Linked DNA regions of Saccharomyces cerevisiae S288C. The gene in region 3 interacts genetically with the main gene of each other region. Each region holds a gene or a part of one and is shown on either strand. Other genes may lie near its edges.

Region 1 (3,628 bases), on a different chromosome or scaffold from region 3:
AGTTCCATGAGGCTGTCTTTGTAAACAGGTAATATATCCTTAATAAATGAGGAATTTTGATCACTTTGTAAGATCGTCTTTCTGAAAATTGATCTTTCGAAAAAATTAGGAAATGTGGGAAGGTTAACGAACTTCAGTCTCAATATAGGAAGATTTTCGTTGAGATACTTTATTTTCATATCTCTGGGTAGGTCTTTTTTAGTTGTTTTTATCTTTCTGACGATGATGAATAAATGTGACTCAAAATATTTGACATACTGTTCTATGGCTTTGCTGGTACTTCCAAGTAAATTACATAAATGGTACTCGATGGAATCGGAGTATATTTTGAGGTGATCTACATTAGCTAGCTGAACTACCTCATCAAATAGCCTTTCAGTATCATGATTGGATCCATATGCTGCCTTTAACTTTTCTGAAACGGCATCATCACAGAATTCCTTGAATTTTGACAGCATATTTTTTGCTTCAAAAGCATTTCTAAACATCAATAAGCTAAAGTGTGTCTCAGTTTTGAAATATCTCTCTTTTTCTTCATCATAAGTGTCCTTCCCAATTTCTATGTATTCGCTAATAGACTTCTTGTTCAACAGTAGATGGCTTATAAATAGGTCATTTGCATCGCTGACCCATTCAGGGGAAAATAAAGATGCTAATAATGCATTCCTCGTCAATAGTACCTTAAAATTCTTGAAAGTTTCCAGCCTCGGCCTTAAATTTGATTCCTCACAGTAATATTGTCTGAGAGTTTTCATATAAAAATCTTTGGGGCTCAAGCCCTCTATACTAAAATTGCAGTTAGACATTATACGGAGCATAGGAACTTCCTTCTCTAACATTGTATTCGTTATTGGAAACATATGAATATAGTGATGAATAGTAGCGCTTACAAGGGTGGAAAATTCCCTTCCAAAATGTGACTTCATACATTCGAAAAGTTTGGAATCATAATACTGAAATATCGTTAAGGTCTCAAATCCTAGTTCTTTTCTTATCATGGGATAATTTACCGGCACATACGATATAATAGGACCAACGGCACCCATTACGTACTGAAATAGCTTGTAAAAAGAGGTCCAATTTTTGGGTATAATTTCATAAGAATAGTCGCATCTGGTCAAAAAGCTAAGGACGTGCGCGTCAATTATTAACTTTGCCAATTCATCACAAAATTCTTGAAAACTCAGCACAATTTGGTGTTGATGTAGCAGCTGAAACTTCTTTTGCTTTTCGTCATTCCCATTAAATTCTGAGTTGTAAGGAATGTATGATTTCCTTTGCGTTAATTCACGGCAATTGTTCAACATCTTAGGCATTAGCTTTCTAAATTTAGCGGCCTTTTCTTTATTACACTCCAATTCTTTCACGTCAGTTTCAGTTATAGTTTCAGCTAAAGTAAGGTGAAAAAACTCGTGCAGCTCAGCAATCATCGTTCGATACCTGGGATTTCGCTCATCGTTAAATTTATTGTATAGTCCTAAAGCGTTGCTTGCACTCGTCTCTCTGCTTATAGACTCGTGGAATCCTTCTCTCTTGGAAACGCTCTCATTTATCATTGTTCCTGTGAACCCGTACGAGAATTTATACCAGTAAAAAAGATTGGTGGGTTTAATATCTTGAGGATTCCTTCAAAGTAGTCTTTTAGTGCAAAGATATCGATGATCTTCATTCGCATTGTTCATATTCATCATTACGCAAAGGATAGCTATGCGTTCCGCTTCGTCATACTTAATCAGGAATATTGAACATCCAAAAATCTCCGAGCTCACGTATGTAGAATTTTTGATGAATACAAAAGAAGAAAACACTAGACTTTTCTTTGATGTTTACATTATGTCTATGATGCTAAGTAATTGGGCACTCTCCCCTCGATATGTGGGACAGCGAAACCTCATACATTGCACCACTTTATTTCACACACTTACACGATGGGCAAAAGACGCAGACGATAAATATCATGATATAAACTCAATGTATGAAAACATGTTTACACCTTCAAATGATAACGTTTCAATTTTGCAGGATGAAGGTAAATCTGATTATGATACGACGAAGGCCAGCTCTATGGAAGAAGATATCAGTGCTTTTAATAAAGACTTGTACAATTTCTATAATATTGGATATGCCAAACAGATCATGTCTGCTTCACAATTGGAAAATATAGTAAAGGCAAAGGGCAGATTTGTTATACAAAGTTTATCCACCAGTCCTTATTATAATTTGGCCCTTGAAAACTATGTTTTCAAGAATACACCAAGAGCCAAAAGAGGTCCCGATAATTGCAGACTGTTATTTTACATCAATGATAGGTGCGCCGTTATAGGCAAAAACCAAAATCTGTGGCAGGAAGTAGATCTTGCTAAGCTGAAGAGTAAGAATTTCGAACTACTTAGAAGATTTTCTGGAGGTGGCACTGTACTGCATGATTTGGGCAATGTTAATTATTCATATTTAACATCAAGGGAGAAATTCGAAACAAAGTTTTTCAACAAAATGATAATTAAGTGGTTAAATTCATTGAATCCCGAACTAAGACTAGATTTGAATGAGAGAGGAGATATTATTCAGGACGGGTTTAAAATTAGTGGCAGTGCTTATAAAATTGCCGGTGGCAAAGCATACCATCATGCAACGATGTTGCTTAATGCGGATTTAGAACAGTTTAGCGGCTTATTAGAACCCTCACTACCGAACAATATGGAATGGGAGTCAAGTGGAGTTCATAGTGTAAAATCAAAAATCAAAAATGTTGGTATAATTACTCCTAATCAGTTCATTGCAGTGGTATCCGAGCGTTTTCAGAAAACATTCAAAGTTGACGGCGAAATACCTATATATTACTGTGACGAGTTTAAATCTATAAACGATGAGATTAAAGATGCTATGAACACCTTACAGAGCGAACAATGGAAATATTTCTCGGGGCCTAAATTTTCAGTGAAGATTAAAGATAAAGGCTTAACAATTAAAGTCGAAAAGGGCATGATTTATGATTGTGATAGAAATGATTTAATCGGCTTGGAATTCAAAGGATTTTTGGAGAATATTGACAGTTACACATAACGTTGATGAATATTTCAATTCACTTGTAAATAACGTAGGTAAATATCAAAATTAAAGTCTTTCACCGGAAACTGATTCAGCATATTTCAGCAGACGCGTCCTAGATTCACAGCAAACTTCAATATAAGCGATACATTAGGAGTGTTCGTACTTTAGATCTATAAGAACTATATTTTGTTACGATTCAGCCGTCTCTAAATGTGAACTAAATATTTATACTGTTATTTGAGAAACCGACAGATAGTACTTAATTTTATCGATCATCTAAGAATAGCATCGGTATTGTGGTGACATTTATTGAATTTCTTCCGCTCCAGAATAAAGTTCCTTTTCACTTCAAAAAACTGCCACCAGTAAAGTTGCACCAGTGGTTTTTGAGCATTTTTTGTCAATGTCGCTTAACCGTTCTTGAACTGTATCCTCTTGACGTCGATAAAATCATTTGTAAAAACCAGGCCAAATCATCATTGAATAATTTACACTGTGTCTTCAATGTCGCCATTTGGACCAATAATTATCAAACTGTTCACAATTCACTCAAAGTCCTTTCAGCAACATTCTTATG
Region 2 (3,987 bases), on a different chromosome or scaffold from region 3:
TGCCTGGTACAACGCTTACGCAGGTATTGCCACAAGACAAAACTCGTACATTATGGTCCATCCATTCGCATTACCTAGCAATGATAAGGTGTTCTTCTAAAAACACAAAAGTGCAGGCTAAAATAACTTTTACCCCTATTATATATTCTTATGATCCATTATTTATGAAAAGCCCAGCAAATGTCGAACAAATCGGCCTTTGTTTTATTTCACATAGAATCCTTTATAAAACAACACTGTTCTCATGCATTTCCGAACTATTGTTCTTGTTGTATAGGAGCACGGTTTACCCCTTTTGCTATTGACACATGTAATATCGCATAAAAAAGAAACCGCACTTCATAGTGCATAAGCAGTACAGAAATGATATCACATGTAAGTGATAGCGATTTGACTGTTTGCTACCGACAAGACTATCTGAAATAAGAAAAAAAACGACCCCAGTGAGGGTTGAACTCACGATCTTGCGATTAACAGTCGCACGCCTTAACCAACTTGGCCATGGAGTCACTTTAAATTCTGCAGAACGTGAAAGGTTCGATTTCCATGATCTACACGATTTTAATCATCTGTAAGCCTTGCCATGAAGCTAAATTGGTGAATTTTTAAGAATTGTTTTGTTGGAACGAGAGTAATTAATAGTGACATGAGTTGCTATGGTAACAATCTAATGCTTACATCGTATATTAATGTACACCTCGTATACGTTTAAGTGTGATTGCGCCTATTGCAGAAGGAATGTTAAACGAGAAGCTCAGACAATACTGAAGCTGTGTTAAAGACCTATTAGTTGAACATGTTATGGTAGGTACATATATGAGGAATATGAGTCGTCACATCAATGTTTAGTAACTACCGGAATCACTATTATATTGGTCATGATTAATATGACCAATCAGCGTGTGTTTTATATACATCTCTTATTTAGTATAAGAAGATCAGTACTTATTTCTTCATTAATACTAATTTTTAACCTCTAATTATCAACAGAGGAATATGAGGATTCCTAGATCCTCGAGGAGAACTTCTAGTATATTCTGTATACCTAATATTATAGCCTTTTTCAACAATGGAATCCCAACAATTATCTCAAAAATCACCTAAGCCTCACATGCATGTTTTACGTTGTGGTTGATGATCTATTGATGTTGAGGTACCATATTTTGAAATTCATTAAAACAACTTCTACCGGGCGTGTGGTCTAGAGGTATGATTCTCGCTTAGGGTGCGGGAGGTCCCGGGTTCGAGTCCCGGCTCGCCCCCATTGATTTATTTTTATCAAATTTTTTAATATTGCATATCTTTAGTGGGCAAAAAATTTTTCCCTGGGCAAAAATATAAGAGAGCTCATCTTATTGTTGTCAGCCCAATGATTCCCTTGTCAAATTGAATTTTCGGATTTACTTGTTCAGGTACCCGCGTTAAGGGGCTGCCGCGCCTGTCACTCTAAGAAAAAAGGAGCCATCAAAAACCATTCAGCATTAACTAAAAACGCGGGTAGAGATTACTACATATTCCAACAAGACCTTCGCAGGAAAGTATACCTAAACTAATTAAAGAAATCTCCGAAGTTCGCATTTCATTGAACGGCTCAATTAATCTTTGTAAATATGAGCGTTTTTACGTTCACATTGCCTTTTTTTTTATGTATTTACCTTGCATTTTTGTGCTAAAAGGCGTCACGTTTTTTTCCGCCGCAGCCGCCCGGAAATGAAAAGTATGACCCCCGCTAGACCAAAAATACTTTTGTGTTATTGGAGGATCGCAATCCCTTTGGAGCTTTTCCGATACTATCGACTTATCCGACCTCTTGTTGTTTGAAAATGTCAATTGATATCCATCCATTATATAAATGCTCAAAACTTGCAGCAACTATTCTTTACCCTTCCCCTGTTATGGATTGCTAGTCTTAAGGGGGAAATTTGCTGTTTACTAAAATACAAACCAGGTTTGTTTTGGCTTTTATTTGCATTTAAGTAATTACAATTACAACCATTAAAAAGAAAATAAGGCAAAACATATAGCAATATAATACTATTTACGAAGATGTCAGCGATATTATCAACAACTAGCAAAAGTTTCTTATCAAGGGGCTCCACAAGACAATGTCAAAATATGCAAAAGGCTCTTTTTGCACTATTGAATGCTCGCCACTATAGTAGCGCCTCCGAACAAACGTTGAAGGAGAGATTTGCTGAAATTATCCCAGCAAAGGCAGAAGAAATTAAAAAATTCAAGAAAGAACACGGTAAAACCGTTATTGGTGAAGTTCTTTTGGAGCAAGCTTATGGTGGTATGAGAGGTATTAAAGGCCTTGTTTGGGAAGGTTCCGTGTTAGACCCCGAAGAAGGTATTAGATTTAGGGGTCGTACTATTCCAGAAATTCAAAGGGAACTACCAAAGGCTGAGGGTAGTACAGAACCTTTGCCAGAAGCTTTATTTTGGTTGCTTTTGACTGGTGAAATACCTACTGACGCTCAAGTTAAAGCCCTTTCTGCTGATTTAGCTGCCAGATCAGAAATTCCAGAGCACGTTATCCAACTTTTAGATAGCCTCCCAAAAGATCTACATCCAATGGCGCAATTTTCTATTGCCGTGACTGCTTTAGAAAGCGAGTCTAAGTTTGCCAAAGCATATGCTCAAGGTGTATCCAAGAAAGAATATTGGAGCTATACATTTGAAGATTCGTTAGATCTGCTGGGTAAATTACCTGTTATTGCTTCCAAAATTTATCGTAATGTGTTCAAGGATGGTAAAATTACTTCAACCGATCCTAATGCTGACTATGGTAAAAATTTGGCCCAACTTTTGGGCTACGAAAACAAGGATTTTATTGACTTAATGAGACTATATTTAACTATTCATTCTGATCATGAAGGTGGTAACGTTTCTGCCCATACTACACATTTAGTGGGTTCTGCCTTATCTTCGCCATACTTATCTTTGGCCGCTGGTTTGAATGGTTTAGCTGGCCCATTACATGGTCGTGCCAATCAAGAAGTTTTAGAATGGCTATTTAAATTGAGAGAAGAAGTGAAAGGTGACTATTCAAAAGAAACAATTGAAAAGTACTTGTGGGATACTTTGAACGCAGGGAGAGTTGTTCCTGGTTATGGCCATGCGGTTTTGAGAAAAACTGATCCTCGTTATACGGCTCAACGTGAATTCGCATTGAAACATTTCCCAGATTACGAGTTATTTAAGTTGGTCTCCACCATTTATGAAGTTGCCCCAGGGGTTTTAACTAAGCATGGTAAAACTAAGAACCCATGGCCAAATGTTGATTCACATTCCGGTGTTTTATTGCAATACTATGGTCTAACTGAGGCTTCGTTCTACACTGTATTGTTTGGTGTTGCCAGAGCTATTGGTGTGTTACCCCAATTAATCATCGATAGGGCTGTTGGTGCTCCAATCGAAAGGCCAAAATCATTCTCCACCGAAAAATACAAGGAGTTGGTAAAGAAAATCGAAAGTAAGAACTAAGGAAAATTTGATTTTTGATTCAGGGTATGCGACTATTCAAACACGTATTTTCATATACGAATGAGTAGTTTATAATTTATATAAATATATATTACATAAGGAAATGGCTATGACTTCATGATTTTTACGCTTTGAGTCCCCTATGCCTACCGGTTATGTTATATACTTGGCAAATGATATCAATGAATAGAAAACAAAATGCTCTTAAATTCCTGCAAAGCGCTTTCAAATCGAATTGTGGTGGGCTGGCGCGCTGATTTAGCAGTAAAATCTAGCCTGTAGTCGATATACTACGTCAAGGTGTAACTAACGTTTATATGTATATGAACCTGCAGAAGAAGCAAAATGACAAGGTTAATGCATCTTTATCTGTCCTAGAGTAGAAGATACACTAAAAAGTTGATAAAGCGAATATAATATGGTCATGTGAAAAAAGCAATCTCATAAAATTTTCTCTTTTTCCTTTTTTTCTTCTGTTCTTACCTCAAGATAAATGTCACT
Region 3 (3,984 bases):
TACTTTTTTTTTTTTTGTTTCTGCATTCTCTCAGATTTTAGATGATGCGGTTTTTTACAGGGCATTGAAACAATTGCAGAAAAGCAACATACTAATATATCATAACTTTTTACTCTTGCCTCTCAGAAACTATATATACGTTGTAATCATTTTCTTTCTTCTAATAGCTAGTTCGTTTGAACTACAAGGAAATAAGGCAGAGAAAAAGAAAGGAAAATAATATGCCAAAGAGAATTGTATACAATATATCCAGTGACTTCCAGTTGAAGTCGTTACTGGGAGAGGGTGCATACGGTGTGGTATGTTCTGCAACGCATAAGCCCACGGGAGAAATCGTGGCAATAAAAAAGATCGAACCATTCGATAAGCCTTTGTTCGCATTACGTACGCTGCGTGAAATAAAGATCCTGAAGCACTTCAAGCACGAAAATATCATAACAATCTTCAACATTCAACGCCCTGACTCGTTCGAAAACTTCAATGAGGTCTACATAATTCAAGAGCTAATGCAGACAGATTTACACCGTGTAATCTCCACCCAGATGCTGAGTGACGATCATATACAATATTTTATATACCAAACCTTGAGAGCAGTGAAAGTGCTGCATGGTTCGAACGTCATCCATCGTGATTTAAAGCCCTCCAACCTTCTCATAAACTCCAACTGTGACTTGAAAGTATGTGATTTCGGTTTAGCAAGAATCATTGACGAGTCAGCCGCGGACAATTCAGAGCCCACAGGTCAGCAAAGCGGCATGACCGAGTATGTGGCCACACGTTGGTACAGGGCGCCAGAGGTGATGTTAACCTCTGCCAAATACTCAAGGGCCATGGACGTGTGGTCCTGCGGATGTATTCTCGCTGAACTTTTCTTAAGACGGCCAATCTTCCCTGGCAGAGATTATCGCCATCAACTACTACTGATATTCGGTATCATCGGTACACCTCACTCAGATAATGATTTGCGGTGTATAGAGTCACCCAGGGCTAGAGAGTACATAAAGTCGCTTCCCATGTACCCTGCCGCGCCACTGGAGAAGATGTTCCCTCGAGTCAACCCGAAAGGCATAGATCTTTTACAGCGTATGCTTGTTTTTGACCCTGCGAAGAGGATTACTGCTAAGGAGGCACTGGAGCATCCGTATTTGCAAACATACCACGATCCAAACGACGAACCTGAAGGCGAACCCATCCCACCCAGCTTCTTCGAGTTTGATCACTACAAGGAGGCACTAACGACGAAAGACCTCAAGAAACTCATTTGGAACGAAATATTTAGTTAGCCATCATTATCATTAAAATATCAACCCGAAGAACAATGTATACATATACATATACGTACACATATACATATGTACATATGACATACGTATTAGCCGCTGAGGACGCGGACGTATAAAAGGACAATACTTATATGGAGCTAAGGGGAGCAGTTACGCAACTCCGTGATCGCGCGCCACGGGCCGTCGGCGGCTGTTAATTGAAGAAAAAAAAAATGAAGAACCACAAGGGGTGATCCATATAGGTGACTAGCATCATCCCCTGCGACGCGCGGCCCGCCGGGCCAAAGGCGGGCAATGCGCGCTGCTGATTGGCCTCGAGGACAACGCCCTCAACCACATCCGCAACAGCCAATCCCATCGGAGCGTCAAACTACCAAAGTAGTGATTGTATGGATGACCACTGTATTGTGGACGGTAAGCGCTTGCTGGAGCAAATGTGTAATCAAGTTGCTGTGTATATATAGACGTTAGATGTGTTCTACCCCTTCTTTTGTCTTGTGCCCACCGGGCTTACATTAGCACACAAAGCAGCAAGAGACCGTCTTACTAGACAATAGCGGCAAAACAAACAACACATTTCTTTTTTTCTTTTTCACATATTGCACTAAAATGACAATTTCTAATTTGTTAAAGCAGAGAGTTAGGTATGCTCCCTATCTGAAAAAAGTTAAGGAAGCTCACGAGCTTATTCCATTGTTCAAGAATGGTCAGTACCTTGGGTGGTCCGGTTTTACAGGAGTGGGTACTCCCAAGGCAGTGCCGGAGGCACTGATAGATCACGTGGAGAAGAACAATTTACAAGGGAAGTTGAGATTCAACCTTTTTGTTGGAGCTTCTGCTGGTCCAGAGGAAAACCGTTGGGCTGAACACGACATGATCATTAAGAGAGCCCCTCATCAAGTAGGGAAACCCATTGCAAAGGCAATTAACCAGGGTAGAATTGAGTTCTTTGATAAACATCTGTCCATGTTCCCTCAGGATCTGACATACGGGTTCTACACCAGGGAAAGAAAAGACAACAAAATCCTTGATTATACTATAATCGAGGCAACGGCCATTAAAGAGGACGGGTCTATCGTCCCAGGTCCCTCTGTCGGTGGTTCTCCAGAATTCATTACAGTCAGTGATAAAGTGATTATTGAGGTTAACACGGCTACGCCTTCGTTCGAGGGTATTCACGATATAGACATGCCCGTGAACCCACCTTTCAGGAAACCATACCCATATCTGAAAGTGGACGACAAGTGTGGTGTTGACTCCATCCCGGTTGATCCTGAAAAGGTTGTTGCGATTGTGGAGTCCACCATGAGGGACCAGGTCCCACCAAATACGCCCTCTGACGACATGTCCAGGGCTATTGCAGGTCATTTGGTCGAGTTTTTCAGAAACGAGGTAAAACATGGTAGGCTACCTGAAAACCTGCTGCCTTTACAAAGTGGTATAGGTAACATTGCTAACGCTGTCATTGAAGGGCTTGCTGGCGCCCAATTCAAGCACTTGACTGTATGGACGGAAGTGCTGCAGGACTCGTTCTTGGATCTTTTCGAGAACGGATCTTTGGACTACGCCACTGCTACTTCCGTGAGATTGACTGAAAAGGGTTTCGACAGAGCCTTTGCAAACTGGGAAAATTTCAAACACAGATTGTGTTTGAGATCTCAAGTTGTCTCGAACAATCCGGAAATGATCCGTAGATTGGGTGTCATCGCCATGAATACCCCAGTAGAAGTTGACATTTACGCGCACGCCAATTCTACAAATGTGAATGGTTCCCGTATGTTGAACGGGTTGGGTGGATCTGCTGATTTCTTGAGAAATGCAAAGTTGTCCATCATGCATGCCCCCTCTGCAAGACCAACTAAAGTAGACCCTACCGGTATCTCTACCATTGTTCCTATGGCCTCTCATGTAGATCAAACTGAGCATGACCTGGACATCTTGGTCACTGACCAAGGTTTGGCGGATCTAAGAGGTCTATCGCCTAAGGAAAGAGCCCGTGAAATCATCAACAAGTGTGCTCATCCCGATTATCAAGCTTTGTTGACCGATTACTTGGACAGAGCAGAGCATTACGCTAAAAAGCACAATTGCTTGCATGAACCACACATGCTAAAGAATGCTTTCAAGTTCCACACCAACTTAGCTGAAAAGGGTACAATGAAGGTCGACAGCTGGGAACCAGTTGACTAGTGTTTGTGCGCAAACCGAGAGATGAGTATTTAACAAAAAAAAGAAAGGAAATGATATGATTATGATTTTATGTTTATAAAGCTTTTATCCAATGCGTTGTTTTTTCTTGCATATTTATACTTTTTGCGCTCATGGAGGGAGTTAATCAATACGCATGACGTCTAGTTAATTCACAGGTAGTACTGTATATTTATATGTTTACACAATAATTATGTATTAAGTAGTGATTAGTAAAAAAAACTAAGAGGTTGAAAGTCATCAACCCTTATATTAATTTCAACGAATTTCGCTGATGACGTCAGGGTAGTTCTCTTGCTTAGGTCAATGTAAAAATGCCAGGGTAATACAAAACCAAGCTCTGAACCGCCCAACTTATCTGTAATGATGCATGTATACCTTACAATGATTTTTTTTCTCCTATTATGGAATTAATATTGGAATCCATGTTTGTGAACAGCCTTCTCCGCAATTTAGCTTCAAGCTAATAAGTGGTTATTGTTTGCGCGCGCTT
Region 4 (3,250 bases), on a different chromosome or scaffold from region 3:
GTTCACAGACATCATTACCTTCACAACTAGAAAATAAGGATAAGTCAGCGTCAGGCACCAAATGCCTTTTCGCCTCTAAGCCACTAGGATTGACCATTGATACTTCTACTAGAAGTAATGCTGCATCGTGTACCGAAAATGATGTAAACGCTACTGCCTCAAATCCTCCAAAAAGTCCAAGCATAACGGTTAACGAGTTTTTCCATTAGAGCACTAGAGCATAACTAATACTATAAATTAGACAAAGCAGAAAAAGGGAAAAAGGTTCATGCTATGATAATGTAAAGAATATGCGTAGAGATATCTATATATCCATTTATACGTTTATATACTTGCGTGTTTACTTTGTATGGCATAATAACATGTATGTTTGCATTAGGGATTTGTTTTAGTGTATCCAAGAGCGATTAGTATAGAAGGAATGTATGTATGTGTATACGATATTTATATAAAGGGAAGTTGGCTAATTTTTTGCACACTTTCGTCCTCTTTCCATTTTCAATGAATGCGTAGAAGCACAGACTGGGAGTGGAGAGAGTTCGCAGTTTTGATCTCTTTCTCAATCTTTGTTCTCCTCTGCCGCCTTGTGATAAGCGTCTATAGTTGCTAAAGAGGTGTATTCTATAGTGTCCACTTGGGGACAATTTCTCCGAATAAGGTTATAAATCACATTGCCCGGGCCAAAGCAAATACTCTTATCAATTTCCACTGGGGTTCCAGAGTTTATGGTATCATAACACATGGTGAATTGCACAGTCCTGCTTGAACACTTAACGAATCTATCTAGGGCATGATGAATATAGTAAGATATATTACCATCTAAGTTAGCTATTATTGGATGGTTCAACTCCATCAACGTGTGAGTTCCGTTTTTCTTTAATATATCCCAAATGTAGTCATAGAGTGGTTCCTGAACGGGCCTCAACACAGTGCTATTATGGAAGGGGATGTTGTATGGGTTAGTTAATTCTGTAATTCTTAAACGCGGGAACCTTAAGTTCAATTCTGTTCTTAAGGACTCTAAATCATCAACCAGACCGGTGACTACACATTGCTTTACTGAATTTGCATTTGCTACAGAAATGGTATTTTGTGAAGATGATAATAAATTAGGGGAATTTAGTAGTTTTTGCACTTCTTGCGGTAAATCTGTGGCCCTCGGAGAAGAGAGTGCCCACATTTCAAATTTGTTGGATCTGTTGATATTGTGGGCTACTAAGTACTTTTCAGTAGATGTTACCATTAACTTATTTCTAAAATTAGCAATATCAAAAAGATCCTTTAACGAAAACAGTGAATTAACACTCAGACATGTTAACTCGCCTAGCGAGTGACCCAAAAGGTAACATTGTTCATTGTCTTTCTTGTCGGGGGAATCGATCTTAGTCATATTTTTTGGTGCTTGATCTTGAGGATCAGAAGGATTCGAGAGTATCTGGTACAATTGATAGAAAAGGTTGGAGCAGACTGCAATGCTTCCGGGGCTGGAAGGGTTCTGGAAGATGTACTGCAATAGATCATTTGATTCCTTGCCGTTCTGACTCAGTATTGTTTGGAATTCTCTTGATTTGTTTCTTATTATCGCTTTTAATATCGAAATGGAGATGGAGGTCCCTTGACCTGGGAAGGTTAGTAGCTTCATACAAACGCTTATATATGTGTACCACGATCAGAAAAGTGCAAAACGCTTTGTTACTACCCTCAGTGTACGTTATTGAATAGTTCTAATATGCAGCAAGTTACTGGTAAGCTTTGTTTTACCCTTGAGTTCGATACTCAGTTTACTTCCTCCATCGGAGGTTGAAATGCGCCTTGTCATACGGCCAAAAAATGCCATGTAAGAAGATGACACTTTCTGCATTTTGAGTATATTTAAGGGCCTATAATTTTCTTCCAACTTTCTCAAGACAAGCATATTGTGTACTTTCGGTTTAGCAAGCCTTTTTACTTCGTTAACACAAGGCGATGCTAACGTGTGTTTACTGTTTTAGAAGATCGGCATTTATCAAATGTAAGGACAATGAGACATGGTTGACCAATTAGTTCTTCTCAGATAGGAGTTCTAGTTCTTCTGCATACTACTTAGTCCTCTTCTGTCGTTGACATTCAATTGCTTGTGCATTTCTAACATGAAATAGTGGTACTACGAATGCTATTATTCTATGCCAGGCAAATTCCTCTGGAACTTTTTTTTTTTCAGTTTTTTCGTGGTGAGCTTTTTTTGCCTGTCTATCTCGAAAGATCTTGTTGTTGATGACTCAGTGCAGTCGCGATCACTTTCGACTCGACATGCATTTGCAAGTAATTCTGTTATAAAACGTTCTCTTCGTTTTTTCAGTCTGAAGCTCTTCTGCACTTTTTTACTGGGTTAGATTCTATATAGTCAAGTAATTCGAGGTAGCATCAAAGTAATATGTCATCAGACTCAAACGCAAAGCCATTGCCTTTTATATATCAGTTCATATCAGGTGCCGTCGCCGGTATTTCTGAGTTAACTGTTATGTATCCGCTTGATGTTGTTAAGACAAGATTTCAACTGGAGGTGACGACGCCTACTGCCGCTGCAGTAGGAAAGCAAGTAGAGAGATATAATGGTGTCATCGATTGTTTGAAAAAAATTGTAAAGAAGGAAGGGTTTAGCAGACTTTACAGAGGTATTAGTTCACCAATGTTGATGGAAGCACCAAAGAGAGCCACCAAATTTGCATGTAACGATCAATATCAAAAAATCTTCAAAAACCTATTCAACACGAATGAAACTACGCAGAAGATCTCCATTGCGGCTGGTGCATCTGCTGGTATGACAGAAGCTGCAGTTATTGTTCCATTTGAATTGATCAAAATCAGGATGCAAGACGTCAAGTCCAGCTATCTTGGACCAATGGACTGTTTGAAAAAAACAATCAAAAACGAAGGTATTATGGGGCTATACAAGGGTATCGAATCTACCATGTGGAGAAACGCTCTTTGGAATGGTGGCTACTTCGGTGTTATCTACCAAGTGAGAAATTCCATGCCCGTAGCAAAGACAAAGGGACAAAAGACCAGAAATGACCTTATTGCAGGTGCGATCGGTGGTACGGTCGGGACCATGCTTAACACTCCCTTTGACGTGGTGAAATCCAGAATCCAAAGTGTGGACGCGGTCAGCAGTGCTGTTAAAAAATACAACTGGTGCCTACCTTCGCTATTGGTCATATACCGTGAAGAAGGCTTCAGAGCATTGTACAAAGGTTTCGTCCCCAAAGTA

The links.
Region 1: mutations in ACH1 (region 3) and AIM22 together harm fitness more than expected from each alone (negative genetic interaction), as found in Saccharomyces cerevisiae (2 studies listed by BioGRID).
Region 2: mutations in ACH1 (region 3) and CIT1 together harm fitness more than expected from each alone (negative genetic interaction), as found in Saccharomyces cerevisiae (3 studies listed by BioGRID).
Region 4: mutations in ACH1 (region 3) and MCT1 together harm fitness more than expected from each alone (negative genetic interaction), as found in Saccharomyces cerevisiae (3 studies listed by BioGRID).

What each region holds. Positions count from the first base shown.
Region 1 is NC_001142.9:350,553-354,180, forward strand, and holds AIM22 (putative lipoate--protein ligase), read left to right. Parts: upstream 1-1,833; coding exon 1,834-3,063; downstream 3,064-3,628. Other genes in the region: cullin RTT101, read right to left, coding at 1-1,556. UniProt on the Saccharomyces cerevisiae protein: Catalyzes both the ATP-dependent activation of exogenously supplied lipoate to lipoyl-AMP and the transfer of the activated lipoyl onto the lipoyl domains of lipoate-dependent enzymes.
Region 2 is NC_001146.8:629,121-633,107, reverse strand, and holds CIT1 (citrate (Si)-synthase CIT1), read left to right. Parts: upstream 1-2,046; coding exon 2,047-3,486; downstream 3,487-3,987. Other genes in the region: putative ammonium permease ATO2, read left to right, coding at 1-100. UniProt on the Saccharomyces cerevisiae protein: Specific citrate synthase with catalytic activity only with acetyl-CoA.
Region 3 is NC_001134.8:192,230-196,213, forward strand, and holds ACH1 (acetyl-CoA hydrolase), read left to right. Parts: upstream 1-1,892; coding exon 1,893-3,473; downstream 3,474-3,984. Other genes in the region: mitogen-activated serine/threonine-protein kinase FUS3, read left to right, coding at 222-1,283. UniProt on the Saccharomyces cerevisiae protein: Presumably involved in regulating the intracellular acetyl-CoA pool for fatty acid and cholesterol synthesis and fatty acid oxidation. It may be involved in overall regulation of acetylation during melatonin synthesis.
Region 4 is NC_001147.6:755,917-759,166, forward strand, and holds MCT1 ([acyl-carrier-protein] S-malonyltransferase), read right to left. Parts: upstream 1,643-3,250; coding exon 560-1,642; downstream 1-559. Other genes in the region: RCN2 (Rcn2p), read left to right, coding at 1-209; ODC2 (mitochondrial 2-oxodicarboxylate carrier), read left to right, coding at 2,414-3,250. UniProt on the Saccharomyces cerevisiae protein: Involved in biosynthesis of fatty acids in mitochondria.